Linked DNA regions of Drosophila melanogaster. The protein of the gene in region 3 purifies or fractionates together with the protein of the main gene of each other region. This does not show direct contact. Each region holds a gene or a part of one and is shown on either strand. Other genes may lie near its edges. The genes, in order: Pglym78, Ald1 and tn.

Region 1 (6,765 bases), on a different chromosome or scaffold from region 3:
CTACCTTGGCCATGAATTGGGCCATGTGCCGTGGAAGGCGGCCATCAGCAACTTCATTTTTATCGACTCCATGTTCGTCAACTCCGGCGACTACGACCTTCTAAAGGTTTGCTTTTAACCATTGGGCGTGCTATAAATATTATTTGACATTTCTGATTCTCACAGAACTATCTGCTTAAGCAGTTGAAGAAAGTCTACGACCAGGTGGGCTTTAAGGACTCGCAGGACGAATCAGAGGACATCCTGGTGAAGCTGAAGCGTGCCGATATTCTGAGCATGGCCTGTCATTTAGGTCACCAAGAGTGCATCGCGGAGGCGAGCAGGCACTTCCAGAACTGGATGCAGACGCCGAATCCAGATTCAAATAATCCGTAAGCAATAAACGAAGTAATTAATACACTCAACACAATTCCAATAAATTATTACTTCCTTTTCAGCATTGTGCCAAATCTCAGGGGAGTCGTTTACTGCTCTGCGATACAATACGGCACCGAGTACGAATGGGACTTTGCTTTCGAGCGCTTTTTGAAGACGAACGTGCCTGGGGAGAAGGATTTGCTGTTGAATGCACTTGGCTGCTCCAAGGAGCCCTGGTTGCTTTATCGTTTCTTGCGTCGCGGCATTTCCGGACAGCATATCCGGAAACAGGACTTGTTCCGGGTATTCGCAGCAGTTTCCACCACGGTAGTGGGCCAGAACATAGCCTTTGATTTTCTGCGCAACAACTGGCAGGAGATCAAGACCTAGTAAGTGGCGAAATTGTCGCTTTATTCCGTGCATTACTAAAGGGTTTGCATTTTTTCCAGCATGGGCTCACAGATGTCCAGCATCCACACGCTGTTCAAGTTCGCCACGAAGGGCTTCAACTCCAAGTTCCAGCTGGGCGAATTTGAGAACTTCGTGAAGGACGCCCACTGGGACTACGACAGACCCGTGCAACAGATCGTGGAGCACATCGAGACCAGCGTCGACTGGATGAACAAGAACTACAAGTCGATCGTGCGGTGGCTGGAGAACGAGGCGCAAGCGTAAGGAACGGATTCTGCGGCTTGGCTGGATCAAGGCTGCAGCAGTATTAGATTTCGCAGCTGCAACTGCATGGGTTGGGCCACCAATGCATTTATGTGTAATATTTATGTCGCGTGTTTTACCAATTCAGAGTCGCCAAAGAGAGAAAGCCCTTGGCAGATCGTCCAGAGCATCACGTTTTTCATTACTTTTAATGTATGCCTTCTTTTCATAACAATTATGAGTCTTGTAATTTTAATTTGTACTTAAATGTAATTGTAAATGTAAATGGAATTATAACATTGTTCGTCACAAAAAAGTTTTGGAAAGCCTATTCCTGTTTCACAGCCTGGTTTTTTCATTTCGGAACTCTGATCACATTTGCAAACATCAAGGTGCCCACAAAGACTAGCGCGGTGCCCAGCCAGTGCCACCAGGTGAAGGGATTTCGGAAGTATACGATCGAAAAGACCAGCGAGATGAACTTGCGGAGTGTGAGGATCAGAGTCACCGTCAGCGAGCTGCACTCCGTGGTCAGGGTGTAAACGGAGCTGATGCACAAATGCTGCGCAAGCACGTTGCCCAATAAGTATAGCAGGATTAGGGGCACTGCCACGCCCAGGAGGGGCAACTGGTAGGACTCGCCCGTGAACGCCAAAAGCCAGTGCGTCCGTATGTCGTCATGCATGAGCAGGAAGGCGGGCAGCGGCAACAGGTGGGTGTAATACAACGCTTCCCTGGCGCACTTGCCATGACGTCGATACAGCAACTCCTGTGTAATTCCCATGTAGGAGGAAACAAATAGAGCCAGCACCAAGAGTGCCACGCCCAACAGCCACCAGAACGTATCCGCCTCGGCGCCACTATCCAAATTCTCCATCTTACCCACCAAATCCGGACTGGAGAAATATGTGCAGACGAAAATGCCCACGCTGATCATGAGCACCGATATGTACTGACTCAACCGGTAACTCCTCTTCAGGATCAACGTGCACAGGCACATGTTGGAGATCAGCGAACCGCCGCGTATGATCATGTGCAGTGTCATTGGAACTTTGAACTTGAACACGTAGTTGTTGCATACGCTGGTCAGGAAAAACATGGCCACGAGGAGCGCATAGTCGCGCAGGCTGATCACTCTCTGGGCCAGGCCAAACTTCGAGGTGAAGATGAAGCCCTCGAGGGCAATAAATGCAAACTGGGCGCCAGTTATAAGGTTTCCAGCGCCGGGATCCAGTTTAACCAGGAGCTCCAAGAAGACGACGCCACTGCAGCAGCCCAAGAAAACGCCGCAGATGGCCGAAATAGCGCGGATGGATAAATTCATGAACTCGCGCAACGAAAGTAGACGATTCCCACCAACTTTAACCTACGATCTGGGCCATGACGAGCTTTTAAGCCAACTTACTTTCTCTTCGGCCATACAAAACGTAAACAAATGCAACAGGTGGTTATCGATAAAGTTCGGTTCGGGCACAGCTGATGTTGGTCTATCGAAAGTGGTTGAAATTCAAATATTCCAAGCGAAAAAGAAAAAATTTATGATTTTAAGAGAAGAATATTTTATTTAATGTACATTACATTCAAAACCAAACTTAAATATGTTGCCTAATCACATTCGAAATATTCGCACCAACAGTCTTTTACAACAATTACAAAATACAATGATGACAATGCTAAGAAAGAAATTACAGATTAGCAAATTAATGGTATATTACTTATTTTTCCTTTTCCAGCAAGGCAATAATTTTGTTTAACTTTTCCGTCTGCTGGGCCTCGAAGTTGTCCAGTCTCTTAGACACTAACAGCGTCAGCTTCTCAAATCTCATGTCGATGTGCTCCTTGAGGATTGCAACATCGGTGGAAGGCGGTGCAGTCTCTTGGGTTTGGTCCTTCGCCTGCGGGGAATAGCCCTTCATCAGGCTCATGAACTGCTCGAACTTTTCGGCCTGCTCCTCCTTCTTCAAGGGACTCGTGCCACCCCTTTGCAGCAGCTCTTGGATTCGCTGCGCATCCATTGGCCTGGGCAACTGGGTGGTTATGCCGTTGGGATTCGGCGCCACCTGGAGCAGGGCTCCGTAAACGCAGATCTCGCTGGCCGAGGTGAGCATCTTCAGGTTTATGTCATTTATCCCGGATCGGTCGATTTCCATGTCATAGCGATAGGGTCGCACCGCAACCTCTGGGTCCTCATCGTCGACGCAAGTGCCGTAGATGGTCTCGCAGTACTCCTGCAAGGGTCCAATGAACAGCTCCACCTTGGGAGCGCTGCAAATCAGGGTGAGCGCGGCGATTTTGAAGCGGTTCGGGATCTGGAAGCGCAGCTCACAAGGCGGCGGCGGATCCGCCGACTGCATGGAAAACAGCACGGCGCGATTCTCGTCGATCACGTCGTCCAAGTCGGGCCTGCGGACAAAGGAGGTTTCAAAATTACTTGATAAAAACCAGTTTCGGGGCGTGGAATCCTTTGTCTCACTTCACAAAGACGTCTTCGTCGGACAAGCGGGTGGCCACCAGTTGGTCCAGCCCGTTGCCCGACAGCTGGGGCCAAGTGCAGCGCGCGGTGACCTTTTCGCACATGCTTTAAGTGACAAAAAGTTGGAATTTATGGGAGCAAAATTTAAAAACAGCCAAATTTAAAAACCAAAACACGAATATAGTGATGACAAACGCGAGCGATAACATCTGCGCGGGGGATGCCAACCTGTTGCACAGCGCAAACTAATTGGACATTTGAAGGTAGCTTGACGCGCTATTCCAATAAGACCATACTCCGGAGTCCAATCAGAGAAGGCACCGCATCTGCGCACTACGTTTTTCCAACAGAACGGCAATATCGCGGCCTGACAGCTGCGACCTTGGACGGCTCCCTTGTAGGTCAAACTTCAGCAGAATTCCCACATATTGCAGTCGCAGCAAGGCGGCAGCTTAAGAACGAGTACACAATTATCCGCAGAGTGATCAACGCAGCTAAAATGGGCGGCAAGTACAAGATCGTGATGGTGCGCCACGGCGAGTCCGAGTGGAACCAGAAGAATCAGTTCTGCGGCTGGTACGACGCCAACCTCAGCGAAAAGGGTGAGTGATTACATCAATTTGAAATTTAAACCTCATATGTGGGATTAAAAATCTGATGTACATCTAGTTTCCAATCGATGATCCTTTGCTTTGATCAGTTTCACAATAGTATTCCTTTTCATTTACCCAAATTAATCTTCATTGACCTAGTGCAACATTATCTCATTCAAACTTTTCTGTGATAAAAATAGGTCTCTACAAACAAAAGCTTTCCAGTGCAATTTTCAGAAGCATCAAAATTCTAGTTTGTTACACTTTAAAGTCAAAAATTTGCCATCTCATATGTTTCTAAAGTTCAGATTATGCTTATGAGCATAATTTGATAGGTTATCGCCTTTTTTTAACCCTAGTAATCAAATTAAATTAAACGCATGCCTTTCAATTAGATTAAATTGGCTTACGTTCGTTACCCAACACGGCGTATACTTAATGTTCGCTAAACATTTGCCCAAACAGGTCAGGAGGAGGCCCTAGCCGCCGGCAAGGCCGTCAAGGATGCCGGCCTGGAGTTCGATGTGGCCCACACCTCGGTGCTGACCCGCGCCCAGGTGACGCTGGCCAGCATCCTGAAGGCCAGTGGCCACAAGGAGATCCCCATCCAGAAGACTTGGCGCCTGAACGAGCGCCACTACGGTGGACTCACTGGCCTGAACAAGGCCGAGACCGCCGCCAAGTACGGCGAGGCCCAGGTGCAGATCTGGCGTCGCAGCTTCGACACCCCGCCACCACCGATGGAGCCGGGCCATCCGTACTACGAGAACATCGTCAAGGATCCCCGCTACGCCGAGGGTCCCAAGCCCGAGGAGTTCCCCCAGTTCGAGTCCCTCAAGCTGACCATCGAACGCACACTGCCCTACTGGAACGACGTCATCATTCCCCAGATGAAGGAGGGCAAGCGCATCCTGATCGCTGCCCACGGCAACAGCCTCCGTGGCATCGTCAAGCATTTAGACAGTGAGCATGGGAGACATAACATATATCATATCATCTTTTTACCATATCCTTGTCCAATCCAGACCTTTCTGAGGACGCCATCATGGCCCTAAATCTGCCCACGGGCATTCCGTTCGTCTACGAGCTGGACGAGAACTTCAAGCCGGTGGTGTCCATGCAGTTCCTCGGCGACGAGGAGACCGTGAAGAAGGCCATCGAGGCTGTGGCCGCCCAGGGCAAGGCCAAGTAAGCACGCAGGCCACACCTCATGAGAATCCACTCAAATACGGCACAAGTCAGAGCATTCTGATTACGCTTCTGTTCAAGATGTAGCCAATCCCATTCGTTGTTGTTGTTCGCGTAGCAGTAATTGGTTCATCCCCACTACAGTTAATAAATAATTTATTATTACACTCAAGAGGACAGGCGGAGGAGGCTTCATTTATTGTCCGGCTCACTTCTTCTTATTCTTCTTGCCGTCCTTGGCCAATTCCAGGCCCAGGATGCACTTGGGCGGCACCTTGTACGTTTCCGTGAGCAGCGTGTGCACAAATCGCACCTGGTTGCCCTGGATTTGCAGCTGCTCGTGCTTTTGGTGCGGCAGTTTCACCACACTGGTGCTGGCGGCGGCTCCCTGCTTGCACAGCTTGATGAACTCGGCCAGGATGATGCCGTACGCCTCGATGTTGCTGACCAGCGTCACCTTCTTGTTGCCCGATCGCGTGGCCAGGGACATCTGGATGAGGGGCTTCCCGCTCGTATCTTTGCCGCTGCACATCTGGTAGGAGTGCTCCATCTTGCTGGTGATGAGGGAGCACATCTCGCTTAGCGAAACCTCTCTGTTACCATACAGCTCGATCAGAGTGTCGTCGGGGCGCACCAGCTTGGTCAGCGGATGGAGGAGACCATGTTTGCTCACGTACTCCCGCACAATCTTCTTGATCTGACCCGCCGGGATTCCCTCGCCGCGCTTGTAATTCAGCTTGGTGAAGAAGGCCGCCGTAACATCGGTCACTATGTACATCTCCTTCAGCTCGGAGTGGAACAGGGGCGTCTCGGACGCCGCTCCATTAGCTTCGCTTGCCTTGACATCGGTTATAAAGTTCACCACTTCGGGGTGCTCCAGGTCCACAGATGTGATTTTATCCACTCCCTTGCTCTCCTCCCGCACCACAATGAATCCTTGGTCCACCATCTCGGCCAGAAAGTTGGAGAGCTTTTTGTAGCGCGTCTTCTTCAGGTCGATTTGCTCCGTGGCCTCCGTGACCACATAGAGTCTGTAGAAATTGCTCGTCAGCAGAGGCAGGGGCAGCTTCTTTCCATGGTTTTTCAAGGCGGAGAGGAAGGCATTCTTGAGTATAAGTTCTGGTGAGGCTTCCTCCACGGCTTCTTCGTCGGACTCGGGAGCTTCCTGGCTTTCCAAGGTCAGAGCAGCAGTTTCCGTTTCCAGTTCCTCGGTTTGGGCCACCGTAGCGAAGGTCACAGGAGCGGGAGTAGCTGGGCTGGCGGTCTTTCTCCTTTCCGTCTCAGACCCAAGAGCAGGGAAATCCTCGCCAGACAAGGCCTTTGTCTTGACCAGCGGGATTTGCTGCACCAGACTGGGCTCATGCGACCAGAGCTTGTCCCCAAAGAGGTGGAGCATCTTGATGGCCACACCGTGACCTCCGCACATGTACAGTTCATCGCTGGAGCGAGCCAACTGGCCCACGCCCACCGCAGATTTGTTGTTTGTGAGGTTTACGGCCA
Region 2 (6,765 bases), on a different chromosome or scaffold from region 3:
TTTTATAGTGTCTGTAATTTGCTAAAAACTATTTGCAAAAACCGAACAATTGTTTTAAGCTTAGATCACAAAGAAAAATCCGAACCAACCTCGACGATGATGTTTTTGTAACTGAGCAAAGTCACGGAAACCTCGGCAATAATTCCCTCTGATGTAATCAAAGTCATGGAATCTTGTGTCTCACTCTAACCGAATGCAGCTGTCTTCTTCACACCCGCATAATGCGTGACGTGGTAACTTTCACTTTTATTGCCGCTGCTGCTGCGCTGTTCCTGCAGGCAGCGACGCCAACGCAGGGCGCATGAATTTTCGCTTGACATTGAACAAGGTCAAGCAACAAGCCTTAGCAACAAATGTTGCCAGCGAAATTTGTTGCTTACGAAATGCGAATAGAAATTGTTGAAAACCGAAAGTCGTGTGGCGCGTGTGAAGTGCGATAGAGATAGCTAGTGTCCAGCAATATGTAGATACAGATACGAAGTCATCTGCGATGACTAAAAACCCATTTTATACTTGTTTGACATTGACAGTGAGCCAAGGACTGGGAATGGCATAAATGTCAGGTTAAGAGATTAGACCTCCGCAACTTATCGCGAAATATTGTTTACCACATCGACCCCACATTTCCCACGCCATATATTTAACACTTTGTACACGCGTGAATAGCTTGTGGTTCCTAAGAACAGATAGATATTATAAAAGCTTGATATATGCATATATTAAAAATACTGCACAGTTTAAGAATATATTAATATATCTCTAGAATACAAATCATTTTTTCATCTATTAATTTCTAAACAGTTATCTAAACACACTTCACAGAACGACACTAGATATGTATGTACACCCTTATCTATAGAATTATCTATAGATGTTGCGGATTCACTCAGCAGACAACACCCACCTACACTTGCCGGCAATCAATCGAAGACTGAAATGTTTCGAAAACTAGGCGAAATATATACGATGACAAAAAAGAAAGAGGAACGAAGAGCAGCCAACGCATGACAACAAAAAACAATCAAAATAAATTTACGTTCCTATCAAGAGACCGTTTATAAAAATAAACCGCCACATGTCCGTCTATATGTATTCGTGAGCTTGCTATCAGTGAAAATTTTGAATCGAAAACGACGAAAAAACGAGCCCCCAGTTGCGTTTTAGTTCCAAAGGTTTTGCATTATCATAACGAGATTTTAGGTCCGGCCTCCTTGAACGCAGACAGTGGGTCAAAAGAACATCCAACAGTTGAGATAATACTACTACTACTACTACGAACTGACGTCAACTGATTAGCCGTAAACATGGGTGGTAATAATTGTATACTTGTCTGAAAATAGGAAACTTCGAGCACTCCCATACTTCTATCTATGCCCTTATTATGTGACCCCAAAAACTTTGTTGTGGTAACTGTTTACTAGATAAGCCAATGTACCTTATCTAGTCTTATTTCATCGATTAGCTTATACTTTACAATGAGAATGTATACCTATAATTCCATTATATTCATTATAAAATTTCCCAAAGCTTGATATAAACGATCAAAGGAACATAAATTGGTTGTTTTAAATGTTCAAAACTCTTCTTAAAAATCCTAATCAGGTTGATCTTGAAAGGAAGTCCTTTGGAGTACCAAAACTTGTTTTCTGTAGGTTTCAAAACAACCCTTAAACTTCTGCCCCTCTTTTCTCATGTACTCTCTACAAACTATCGGTAAAATGTTTGCTCTCCTTCATTCACTGAAATCTCAATTAAATGGTAGGTATAAAATGCAATAGACAAAAGCATATTGCGTCTATCATGAGAAGACGTCAACAATCTGATGAATTTACGATGACGTTGGCTAATTGAAGTCTAAGCGAGAGAGCGATGGGAAAGTATACATATGTATATCGCGATGTATAGTACATACATTTAACATTTGCGCCAACTATTTATAAAGAAAAACCGCAGCGGCGACTACAAATTGCAGTTGAAAGCCTGCCAACAAGCAAATGAACTCGAATGAAAGAGCGGATGAAAAGTAAGAGAGCCGGTTGAGCCGGTAGAGAAAACTACTACTCACGAAAGTGAGCCAAAAGTCACCCGATAAGGCTTCTTATCGCCTGCAGTTCGCGTAGCCCCCCCACTCCTTCAACCGCGGTGCATAGGTCAACAACACTCGAGAGCCTCGAGGTTCTAGAACTTGTCATAAAAGTGGCGAGCACGCGGAAATGGTAAGATTAGAGAATAATTAAACTATATTCGAATACGCACTCACTAACACTAACACGCCTACAGATTCGCTGCTGCTCTGTAGATTTGGATTACGAAACACCCAGAGAAATGGGAACGATTACGCGACTTTTCAACTGCACTGCCGCCAATGGGGGGAAAAATATCTGAATTTTTTTTAAGGGGCTCAGGGGTTCTGTTCACTGCGTATGACGCCCACTCACCGAACTGGAAACTGAATCTGGGATGTGGTGATTAGCTGCTGGCTACTGGCTGGGTCCGCTGCTGCTGCTGCACTGGAGGAGAGCGGTTAACGCTTTTATTTTCGGCCCGTGTCGCTGCTACTGCCGCTGCCGATGCCTCTGCTACCGCTGACTGCGGCGTCAACGTGAAATTCCAAAGCGAAATAAGCGAGACATGCCGAGCGAGACCCCAAAAGGTTGTTTGGAGGTCGTCGCCGACGGTGTTGGGCAACCGACTGAGCCAAGCGCTTTAAATTCCCAGATCCCCAAACGAAAGGTATCCAAAATAAAGCTCATTCTGGGAGCTTTTAGTGGGGGATGGAACCTAACAGATAAGCTGTAAAACTTATTAGACAGCTTTGAGAAGCTTTAGCTTTCGTTTGGGCGGTAAAAATTTAAATGAAATGTGCTCAAAGCGTATTAACATAATAAATAATTTATCTTAAGATCTCAAACACTATACGATATATATTGAAATAGTATTGAAATGTTAAAAACAATAAAGTGCCACAAACTTAATGTCGCGTCTTGCTGGATATAGTCATCCCAAATCATCCTCATCAAGTGAACTATATGTCTTGCCAAGCTTTCTTGCCCAAAACTATAAAAAAGCATTAAAAATGAAGTGTTATCTTTGCAAGTATTTGTATCTTTTAACCTGTCAACAACATTTCCTATTCTACTTATGCATTGAAAAGAGGGTAGAATAATTAATTTGGTGTATTTTAACCTTAATTACGAGCGACCTGCTTTACTTGGGGCGGTCAATGAATTTTTCGTGACCATCAGCATCAGGCGCTCCAGCGGCAGCGCAACAAAAACGAGGGGTGCCAGAAGCAGCAGCTAGGATAAGCGACTTTCACGCCATGCCTGACCTCCTGCAATGTTAAAGGACTCAACCCCCTGGCACTGGAAACAGCTGATTGAGAGCGCAAACTTTGAGAAAATATCCCCCTATTCTGCCATACAATCTGTTCGAGCGAAAGAGAAAATCGTTTCGCTCTTTAAAATGTCCTAATATGACTTTGGCACAGTTTTCTGAATGAAAAGAATGACTGTGGAACGGGTTATAACATTTAAAGGATTTTAGATATTTCATAGACTATCTATGCTTAGGTTTCTTTAGTTAAAGTGATACAGTTGCTAGATATATATGAAATAATATGCTTACCTAATGAAGGAACCTTAGCCACAGTGCTCTTCATTGTCCTCGCTCTCTTTGTGCCTCGTGGCTTCGTCCTTCGTCCTGTTTCGGTTCTCGTGCCTGCCTCACTCGCTTCCCATTTTCGTTTGGGGATTCTGGTTCAGTTTTCAGTTCGAATTCGTGCGTCGGTCGGTCGAGTTGTGTGCCAAACGCTCGGCACCTGTCGCCCAACACGTGTTGCGTTCCACTTGCGCTGCGCGTCTCCTTCGCACACCCGCGTACACCGCGGCGTATACGCTACGTACTGTGGTGCAGCCAAAGCGAAATAATTTCTGATTATTCTAGTTATGTGAACCGAAAGTGGAGTGCATAAGAGTCTGAAATTCAAGCACCAGCTGTGTTTTAACTCATATTAAATTAAAGAGGAGATACGAAAAAGAGGAGTGAATTTGTGGTTCAGAAGAATGATAAATTGTTTTCCCAGTTTTGGTAAGAAACGATTTGGTTCGATTTGGTATACTCATTAAAAGTTGATGTAGATCAGATTATAAAGTATCTTTCAAAAAACTACAGAAAAATGTTCATTTCTAAAACTAATATTGATGGAACCCTTTTTTTTGCTTTACAATAAATGGCAAGATTAAAGATTAGGGCAAAATAGCTAGAAAAGTTTTTGATCAACTATAGTTAGGTTATACTATATTTCTATTTATCTAGTCTTTTTGTTAAAGGACATTTGAAATAGTTTTTTCTTAAATTCCATTTTTCTTCTTATAAGAGTTCACGAAAACCAAAAGAATGTGTGCAACAAAGAATGCAAAATAGTTTTCCCGGGGCTTGCTGAGTATTCAGCATACATACCAATATGGGTTTCGTATGCAGATTTCTGCCAGCCAGAGTCATAATATTGAGCAATTGATGAGAGCGCGTTTAGCTTGGCTTTGTGGCACTTGGCTCATTAATATGCGGAAGGCGACACAAAACACTCCCCCACGCCTCCACCCACACATATACAAACACACGCACACACACACAGGGAAAAGCCTCCCCTTCCCTAAACTTGTGTCTGTGTTTTGTCTCGTCCTCATCTGCATTTGCCCAAAATGAGAATGAGTATCCCATAACCGACTGAACAGCATCCTGCTTGCTGATGATAATGTTGATTCCTGCCTTCCGCAACAATTTGCTTTGAACCTAATCCGCCCCTTTTTCTGCCACGCCCCAGTAGCTATAGCTTAACCAAAATTCGAAATTCATACCAGTCTCCGGCTCACATTTCACTAGCTTTTGTTGCGGCATTTATAAATGCTTGTTACCTTTTCCTCTTTTCATTTTTAGTCTTGGTCGGAACAAAGTGTTTATGGTCTCTGGCAGTTTGAATTTTGTATCTTTGTTCAGGAATCCCTCTTGAAATGATACAAATTGCGTTTTCCTATTATTCGTCAGCCTAGATTTGCAAAGCTATTTGGAGATTGAGTTCAATTAAATAGAGAACGTCATTCAATGGAGCAGTATCCGATATGAAATGAAAATGTAGGCATTGCAAACTAATTACTTTTTACTCGATGGGTAAACATTTTTGATTGAAAAATTGTGGATAAAATCTTAAGCATACAAATTCCCAAAAATAGATGTTTCTATTCGAGAATACATATATTGGCTTGTTAGTTTTAAAAACAAATTCAATCGGATGACAACTTAAATGTCTGTACTAAAAAATACTATGTGCGAGTGCTATGTCCAGCATGTTTAAAACAAAAACTGCTCAATAATTTGACATCTGCTAGGCCATTTTTTCTCAAATTTCTTATGGTATTTCGCAACATATGTCGTTTTATTTTGGGTCAACCAATTCTTTTGAGGGATTCATTTGTTTCTTACGCGTGCAATTGGCCTCCACTCGAGCCTAAATTATGCATACAAAAAAAGGGAAATAAAAACAATAAAGGGGTGACCTGAAGGCGAAGGTCGAGGCAAATCAAACAAATGGCAAGAAACATGAAAATGTTGTAAAATAATTTCAATTCATTCTTAGGCCATTCCGCATGCCCCTAGGTTGGTTGTCATTCCATTGGCATTTGTGCGGTTTGCTCTTGCCGCTTTTCCGGTCCTCGGAAAAATCCCATTCAATTTTTGTGTTCAGTTTCGCTTGTTTGCGGACAAACAAGAATGAGCGAACAAACAACGATAGAAGCACAATACACCGACACATGTATGGGACATCCTTGTTAAAGTTTGATTTGAGCCCTTTGTATTTCTAATGTTATTTTATTTCGCCATATGGGTCCCGTTTCTTTTAATTTATGTATATATCTACTATATGCATATGCATTGTAAAAAAGTTTATATTTTCGAATGTTTAGGCATGGTGCTCTTGTATGTTATATATATGTATATCAAGAATAGCATATCATAGGTATTAGCTTATGAAAGTAGATATTTTTGGTATGTAAAATTTGTAAATCTACCTTAATTAATCATAACAAGCTAGCTCATATTGCGCACGTATGTTAACATAAATACTCCTGCTCAACGTTTTGGAAAATAATCTTCTAGGAATTAATTTGGGTTTGTTCGCCACCCACTTAGGGAATTTGTCTGGTCATGCGATCAGCTGCTATTACCAAGACTTTTAATGATACGTTTTATTATCCTTGTAAAATTGAATAACCATAAACCAGAAGAAATTTCAGTATGGCCTCCAGCAACTTTGGCATTATGGGTGGGAAGCCTTATCGCAGTGGGCGGTGGCATTCTTGACGAGCTCACAAATCCCAAAACCTCCTTGAAGCTCCCCACATTTCTCCAAGGGGTGGTGGTGGGTGCTTTTCGCATTGACTGTTTGCTACAATTCGCTAGTGAATGGAATTTAGAGCTGAATAAAAGGAAGTTGGGGGTCTGATTATAAATAACGTAAAGTAAGCGCACATGAATGCATTTTGATTGTCTGATGTAGTTTACGGCACGTTTCCTTTATTTTTTGCCGCTTCTGCTGCTGGAGTTGTGAGGCAAAATGGAAATGAAAGACGACAAACTCGCCCGCCAGTATCTGTGGGCGATGGGGGCGTGGCGACTTCCTTAAATGGTGCACTAATGTAGAAAAGAAAAGCATTTTTATATTTATTTGCTTGCCACTTTGCATGGAAATTCCAACTGCAACGAGGA
Region 3 (6,765 bases):
TGTTACTCATAAATAACTGCATACAATTGATTCAGTTATCTAAAATTTATTGGTGACATTGAATGGGGGAAATATTTTGCCAACCATGTACACTTATTTATGAAGGAAATCATAAAACTAAAAAAAAAAAGTACTACAGCTATTTTAAAATAAAAAAAAACAACATTTTTTTGTCCCTTAGATTTTTCAAATCATAAGTTATTAAAACTGTGGAAATATAAGATCGATTGGTATTAAATTTCTTGCACTGCACGACAAAATATCGCGGAGGATGAGAGTCATCCTTGAGCTTAGACGACAGCATATGCTCATGCATGCCTAATTACGATAAATCCTTGCCCTTGCCCGTTCTCACTTACCAACTTTCACCCCATCCTATGCCTTTCACATTCACTTTCGCTTTCCCTTTCCCGCTCTCACTTTCACTCTCGAGTCTCGAGAACAAGCGCGCCCAAATGAAGTAGGCAGAAACAAGAAGAACAACAGCAGCGCCACTTCACAAGGATCATTCGCGTGTGAGTGTGTGAGTTTGTGTTTGCCAGGACTCTTTGGATGTAAGAGTGTGTGTAGGCGTTCATAATTATGGCCGTATTTAGAGAAATTGGTTATTATGTGCTTAACGCCATTTGTCTGACTGGAAATAGTTTGTTTTCGGGGGCCCCCTGCTGTTGGACATATCTTTGTGGAGGTGTGCTTAGCCAGTTTCTTAATCCGGAACCACTTAGTAATTTTTATCTTTTAGTAACGTGTTGGAAGCAAAATAAATAATGAAATGGCTTTAAATATTCTTGAAAAGCTTAATGCCTAGAATATTTTTAATAGTTAAATTAAATTGTACCCTTAAAGCTTAAGCGTTTAAATATGTGTGTTTAACATTATACAGGAATTTTTCTGAGCGGAAAACGGTTGGAAAAATGTAGCATAAATTTACAGAATGTAAATTTCACACTAATTCAAGCTTAACAATTTGAATCAATTATTATTTCGCGGAAAGCTTTAATGTCAATATGCTTTAGTTTATAGAAAATATGCATCAATTAAAGAAAAATTAAGCAGTTCATAACGAGTTTAAACATATACAAGGGATTTCTCTGAAAGCGAATCCATTGGCAAAAAAGCTTAAATTCCTAGAAAATGGATTTTCCACAAATTAACTCTCCATAATTCAATTGAAATTTTAATCCCCCAGGAATTCAAGCTTAAGAATCAATTTCAATATTGGGTATATTTTTTTGACTCTCCTTTAAATTTATCAATTTAATACAGCTTATTGCAAGGAAAAGAGATAAGCTTGGTAGCTATTTTCTTTGTAAAACAAAATGGATTAGCTTACTTCAAAAGCCCTTGAACTAAGCTTATTTTCAGGGCCATAATCCCTGGCCGATTTCAATTAAACTTTGCTGTAAAATACCAATCAACTAGCAACTTTTGCGACCACCCTCTTAGTAAGTTGGACTTGGCTAATACTTGAAATTGTCTGCTAATTCGTAATTATTGCTACTTTACCATGTTGCTCCTGCGTTGACTGAATTGGCTGCCCTTTCTTGGGCAATTAGGACGAGGCGCTGGCTGGCAATGCCAAGTGTCCCCTGGTCGAGTGGCTTTCACTGGAGGTTCCGGATTCCCAGCATACGTGTCCATCAATAATGCGTCCTGGCTGCTGGCTCCTGGCTCGCATCGCCGCAGCCATGCCTTCCATTCGTCAATTGGCCATCCATCAGTTCTAATTAATCATGGCTCGGGCCTAATGAGTTGCTCTCAAATATGCTGGGAATGAATAGATGCCACTATTTCGGACGCTCCGCTAATGGAAATGGGTCTTAACTCGTGCTATACAATTGTCGCCGTTCCGATAGCCTTGTTGCAGTGTTCACAATGCAATGTCCGCAATACGCAATTTCAATTTCACGAGAACCAGCAACTGCGCACAAATCCAGCGGTGATTCTCATGCACATGGAAAATATACGAATCCTTAGTTAATTCTTGGAAAGCAGTTTGATAAATTAATTACTTTCAAAGGAACATCGTTAATTAATAATTTTCGTTATATCAGCATCGAATAGGAGGGGCACACACTTTAACTTTTTATTAGTGACATCAAAATATTATATTGATGAAGAGATGCTGTTCGAAACCTAATTATGTATGTTATATATATTCAAAAAATACATTTGGTTACCATTTTAGTAACTTTTTCTCAGCGTGTAATAGAGGATATAGCTGTGGCTATGGCGTTGTCAGTGGGACTGACCTAGAGTCCGTCAACAACTTGAGCTGCCTTGGCGAACGTGTTGACATCTTTGTTTTGGCCCGCTCATAATTCGCATTTTTTCGGTTTGTTTTTGTTTTGACTGCGGCTGCGGCTTTGTTTTAGCTCGCTATTTTTTCCGAAAATATATTAACGGCTAACCCGATTCATCAGCCTATTGACAAGATGTCATGTGGGACAAGCAAATGACCGAACAAAAGACCGAATGTCTGGCGAGGATGGCTAAATGCAGACCAATCATACTGCATGTGATGACGGAGAGGAATTTGGTATTTATAGAATAATAAGCGAAAAATAAGTAATATTAAAGAACTAAATGATTTAAGACAACATAGTAACAAATGTTGATCTTCTTAGGCATATTATTAATATATATTACGTAAACAAGTGCTTAGAAACAGAACTTAATAAATTAAGATGAAATAAATATTAATAATTCAATGACAAATCTTAAGCGTATATATTTTATTATGATGTCTAGAGTAAAAAACCTACCTATCTCTAAATCATTTGTCTTTCTGTTAACACTTTTAATTATGCTGAATTCTATAACTACATAAAACTCGCGCGATATTTGCTAAGACATCAATTTCCTTATTCTATATAAGTATCAATATTTCTATAAATATTTAAAAAAATTCGAAAATGAATCATTCTGCCAGATAAATGCGTGGGCGTCGATCTTTTCCTCAGCTTTTCTTTCCGCTGGACTAAAGAAAAGTGAAAATCTCACTCTAATAACTGCGAAATAAGCCAGAACAATAACAGGTAAGAATACGTATTGAACAATATATTGTCGCTCTTGGACTTTCTGCGCGACATTGTAAAAAGCGAGAGGAATTCTTACAGACAATTATGGTACATATATTATATTATATGTATATATGTATATAATTCTTGCACAGGTTCGTTGGGGTCGGGTGAAGCTGGGAAACAACAAAAGTGCTACGTGAAAGTGGGAAGAAGACGCAGAAATATTTGTGGCACTTTTGTTGTTGCCTCAGGTTATATTTATAAAATTTCACCTCAAGAACGGCTGATCATCAAGCGTTCGAGAGTCGAGCAGAGAAAAACATTCATTTTCATTTCTGGCACGCTCGCGAGTGGACGTGCGGACCGATACGCCGATAATAGCTATAGCCCAGTTCGATTCCCAACCACCTATATCCATATATATATATCTATTAAGTGTATATAGAGGGGTGCAAAGATCTACCCAAAGATCTTTCACCTGTCGCGCAGTGCGTGAGGGTGCGTCCAAAAGCACCAGTAATCGCGACGCGAGTGTTGGTTTGAGCCAAGGCGGTAATACATCGTACCTCAGTTTGAAAGTGAAGTCAGTGAAAGTCCTTGTGCCGCCAAGGCATGCGAATAAATTTGCAAAAGTTTCGCGAAGCATCAGGAAATAGAGGAAGCCAACGCAAGTGAGTCGAACGGGGTGGATACGTCCTGATTTTAAGCTCGTTTTTGGAAACGCATTCAAATGGAGATGAGCTCGACGCATTCAATGGCTGCTGATTATGTAAAAAAAAGAAGAGAGAAAACGGCGAAAGGCGTGAGAATCTCGGCGAGAGAAGGAGCTTGGGAAAATGTCACCTGGCTGAAAATTGCGCTTTCTCAACATCCCACCGTGTGCACACTCCCACATTCGTGAAAAGCTGTCAAAATTATTTTCATCTCCTTCGGCTTCGCGTTCAAAATTTATTAACAAATTTTGACATAATCATGTATACAAATATATGTTGATGAGGATCTGTTATACGCTATATTACGTGTGTGTGTGTGTGTGTGTGTGTGTGCATATCTCATCAGAAAGCATGGCAATAATTTGCCCACACTCACACACACAGGCACGCACACAGAGACGCACATTGCTCATACGCCGTGTTGCTGCCTTATTTTTAGTTCGATTCAATCAGCGACATTTTCAGAGATTTTCTATTTCCATTTCTGTTGTTTGTGTTTGTCTTTTGCCCGCTGCTCGCTTATCATTGATTGCTTTGTTTGCTTTTGTTTCGGTTTCGGTTTTGCTTTTGCTTGTTCCTTCTCCCATTCTCGCCATCCATTTGGAATGTTTGTGGTGGGCTTTCTCGTATTTATTTTTATATTCACACCTCTCACACAAAACAATTAATTTCTCGTTTCGAAATATAAAAATAAAAATAATACGGAAGATTAAGTGAGAGAGGCGTGTGCGGTTTAAATTTATGTGCCGCCGGAAAGTAGGCAACAGTTTTTTCCAGTTTTCCTTTTAGCTTTATTGCGAGCACTCGCCTCTTTTCAATTCACTTCATCTGCCCTCCAACCCCATCCCTCCTCCGCTCTTTTCGAGTGTGCTTCAGCTGGGCGGAAGTTCAAGGTCGCTGGCAGCATTAAAGAAGTGCCATTGCAGCACGCTGGCAATAGATATCCACCTAAACTAGTTTTGATTCGAATTTACTGGCCACTTTTGCAACTTAAATTAAAAACTGCTCGAAAGTAGCGCGTTGGCAACTTTAAAGTAAATGTATTGCTTATGATTTCTTAGTGTTGTCTCATTTTCTTTATCCATTCATTTAAAGGTATTTTAAAAACTACATAAAGTTGTACACCTTTTTGTTGAAAAGTTTTTGTTTCAACAGACAAATAGCATTTATATTACCAAAATCTAATATGGAAAAATATTCCAAATGTTTCCGAGCTATTGAAGTTTTTAAGTCACTTGTTTTAAGTCAACTTGTTGGTTGCTGAAATCTGTATTATGTTTAAATATTGCTATATTCAAAAGCTTAGTGATTGCAAATAAAACCAATCTGCAATAATACTAAAAACGAAATCATCATAAAATGTATGAATTGATGTATAATTTTTCATGCCACATTTTACTGTATCATTTTAGTAACGCAATGAAGCTCCGAATTGTGCTCATTAAAGAAAATTAATTATAAGGGATATCAATGCAATTGTGTGAACAATTAATTTCTATTAAATTCCCTTTACGCGTTCGATGCTCAAAAGACCGCCGATGTAATCATGTTATTATAGTTTCGGAAATTGGTTTTCCATTGTTTAATTGTTTCCTTTGGTCGAAAGGAACTCGGCCACGGCAAGTTAATTAAAAAGATCTACCTTCGCAGCCATATGCTCGACCCCAGCTGATTATTCATTAACCTGGTCAAGAGTGTGTGGCCCACCGAGGAGCTTATCTGTCGCAGTGCACAATAAGCGAACCTTAAGCGCATTCCGAACTTCATTATCTTCGACTGTCAACCGCGCCCAATCGAATCCCATTCAATACTATCCAATCCCATCCAATCCCATGCCATCCAATGAATTCCAACTTTCACCACCCGCCTTCATCATTGTTTTGCGTGCCGCAGCCTTTGAGGCCGTATAATTAAGTTGGCATGATGCGGCTTATGCGCAGCGTGTTAATGGCCAGGTAAATGGCTACTCGACCCTCACTCCCCACAATTCACTCACAATTGCCTTTGGCTCTAAATTTAATATATTTTCTTTTTAATTTCAGCCAGCAGAGTTAACAGCCAAAGGAACAGGCCCCTTTCAAGGGCGCCTCGGATACCCAAGTAGACAATAAGAAGAAAACAACACTTGGAAACGTAAGTTATCACCGCTGAAATTGGAACGTCACAATACTTTGTAGTTTCTATAGTATTCCTTTGGGAGTGCAGCTAAAATTTCAAAAAGTTTCGATTGCATCTGCTTCTCCCGTCTGCTCCGTTTATTTATAGCCCAAAAATACAGTGCAGTTTTCATTTCTTTATTTGTTTTTCTTTTTGGCCTAGGAGTGCAGACTGCAGTCTGTGAATTCCGGGCTAGTGAGTTCTATTTTCGGCATATTCCCATAGGGAGATAGAATGATATATACAGAGCTAGAGGAGCGAAGTTCTGACCTTGAGAAGCATGCACAGAAAAAAAAACTGCGAAACTGGATAGAATTATTTTGGTAAAAGTAACAAATGTTTGTGTAGGGAACTTAACCTACTTACTTACCGAATGCAATTATATGTAGTTAATAGATACAGATAGATATTTTGAACATGTTTGAGAAAAAGCTTAATTGTAACTTTTAGGGACAACTTTTTGAATGGAATATGAAATTTTAGTTCGTATTGCAGCAAACTAATGGTTTACTGCTACTTAAGTTAAGGGAAAACTTCTAATGGAAGTAGAAACTTTTCACTTGGCACAGAGAAATGTTCCACTAGTTTGACGGAACAGCGAATTCGAGCGATGTTCGCTCCAATTTTCAATGAAATTTATTTTTAGGGCCCGTTACAGCGAGATACACAAAAGCACACAAATAGCCCAGCAATGAGATATAGATGGAAAATGCCGGCGTGCGTCCGAATGAGAAAATCAGCTCAGTTGATGACGTCAAGAGTGTGCGTGCATGTATTCGTACTAAATGGAGGAAAATCTTTTCGGTTAATCCAATAAGTAGCCGATGTCCAGGTTCGAGGCGAGAAATGGGAACTCCATTTGGAAGTAACAT

Evidence for each region.
Region 1: the proteins of tn (region 3) and Pglym78 purify together in Drosophila melanogaster (affinity purification with western blotting; one study listed by BioGRID). This does not show direct contact.
Region 2: the proteins of tn (region 3) and Ald1 purify together in Drosophila melanogaster (affinity purification with western blotting; one study listed by BioGRID). This does not show direct contact.

What each region holds. Positions count from the first base shown.
Region 1 is NT_033777.3:29,144,467-29,151,231, forward strand, and holds Pglym78 (phosphoglyceromutase 78), read left to right. Parts: upstream 1-3,781; 5' UTR 3,782-3,983; coding exon 3,984-4,086; intron 4,087-4,542; coding exon 4,543-5,040; intron 5,041-5,102; coding exon 5,103-5,269; 3' UTR 5,270-5,435; downstream 5,436-6,765. Other genes in the region: superdeath (suppressor of ER stress-induced death), read left to right, coding at 1-106, 166-371, 438-746, 807-1,032; CG14511 (uncharacterized protein), read right to left, coding at 1,367-2,335; CG11882 (uncharacterized protein), read right to left, coding at 2,727-3,414, 3,485-3,588; eIF2D (eukaryotic translation initiation factor 2D), read right to left, coding at 5,474-6,765.
Region 2 is NT_033777.3:26,258,898-26,265,662, forward strand, and holds the start of Ald1 (aldolase 1), read right to left. Parts: upstream 2,695-6,765; 5' UTR 2,439-2,694; exon of another isoform or gene 2,257-2,438; intron 2,217-2,256; exon of another isoform or gene 2,005-2,216; intron 939-2,004; exon of another isoform or gene 905-938; intron 317-904; exon of another isoform or gene 90-316; intron 1-89. UniProt on the Drosophila melanogaster protein: Enzyme of the glycolytic pathway. Glycolysis is essential in glial cells but not in neurons; neurons rely on the citric acid cycle for their energy needs, and on lactate and alanine secreted into the hemolymph by glial cells to fuel it.
Region 3 is NT_033778.4:18,983,998-18,990,762, forward strand, and holds the start of tn (thin), read left to right. Parts: upstream 1-3,346; 5' UTR 3,347-3,694; intron 3,695-5,386; exon of another isoform or gene 5,387-5,691; intron 5,692-5,778; 5' UTR 5,779-5,869; intron 5,870-6,765.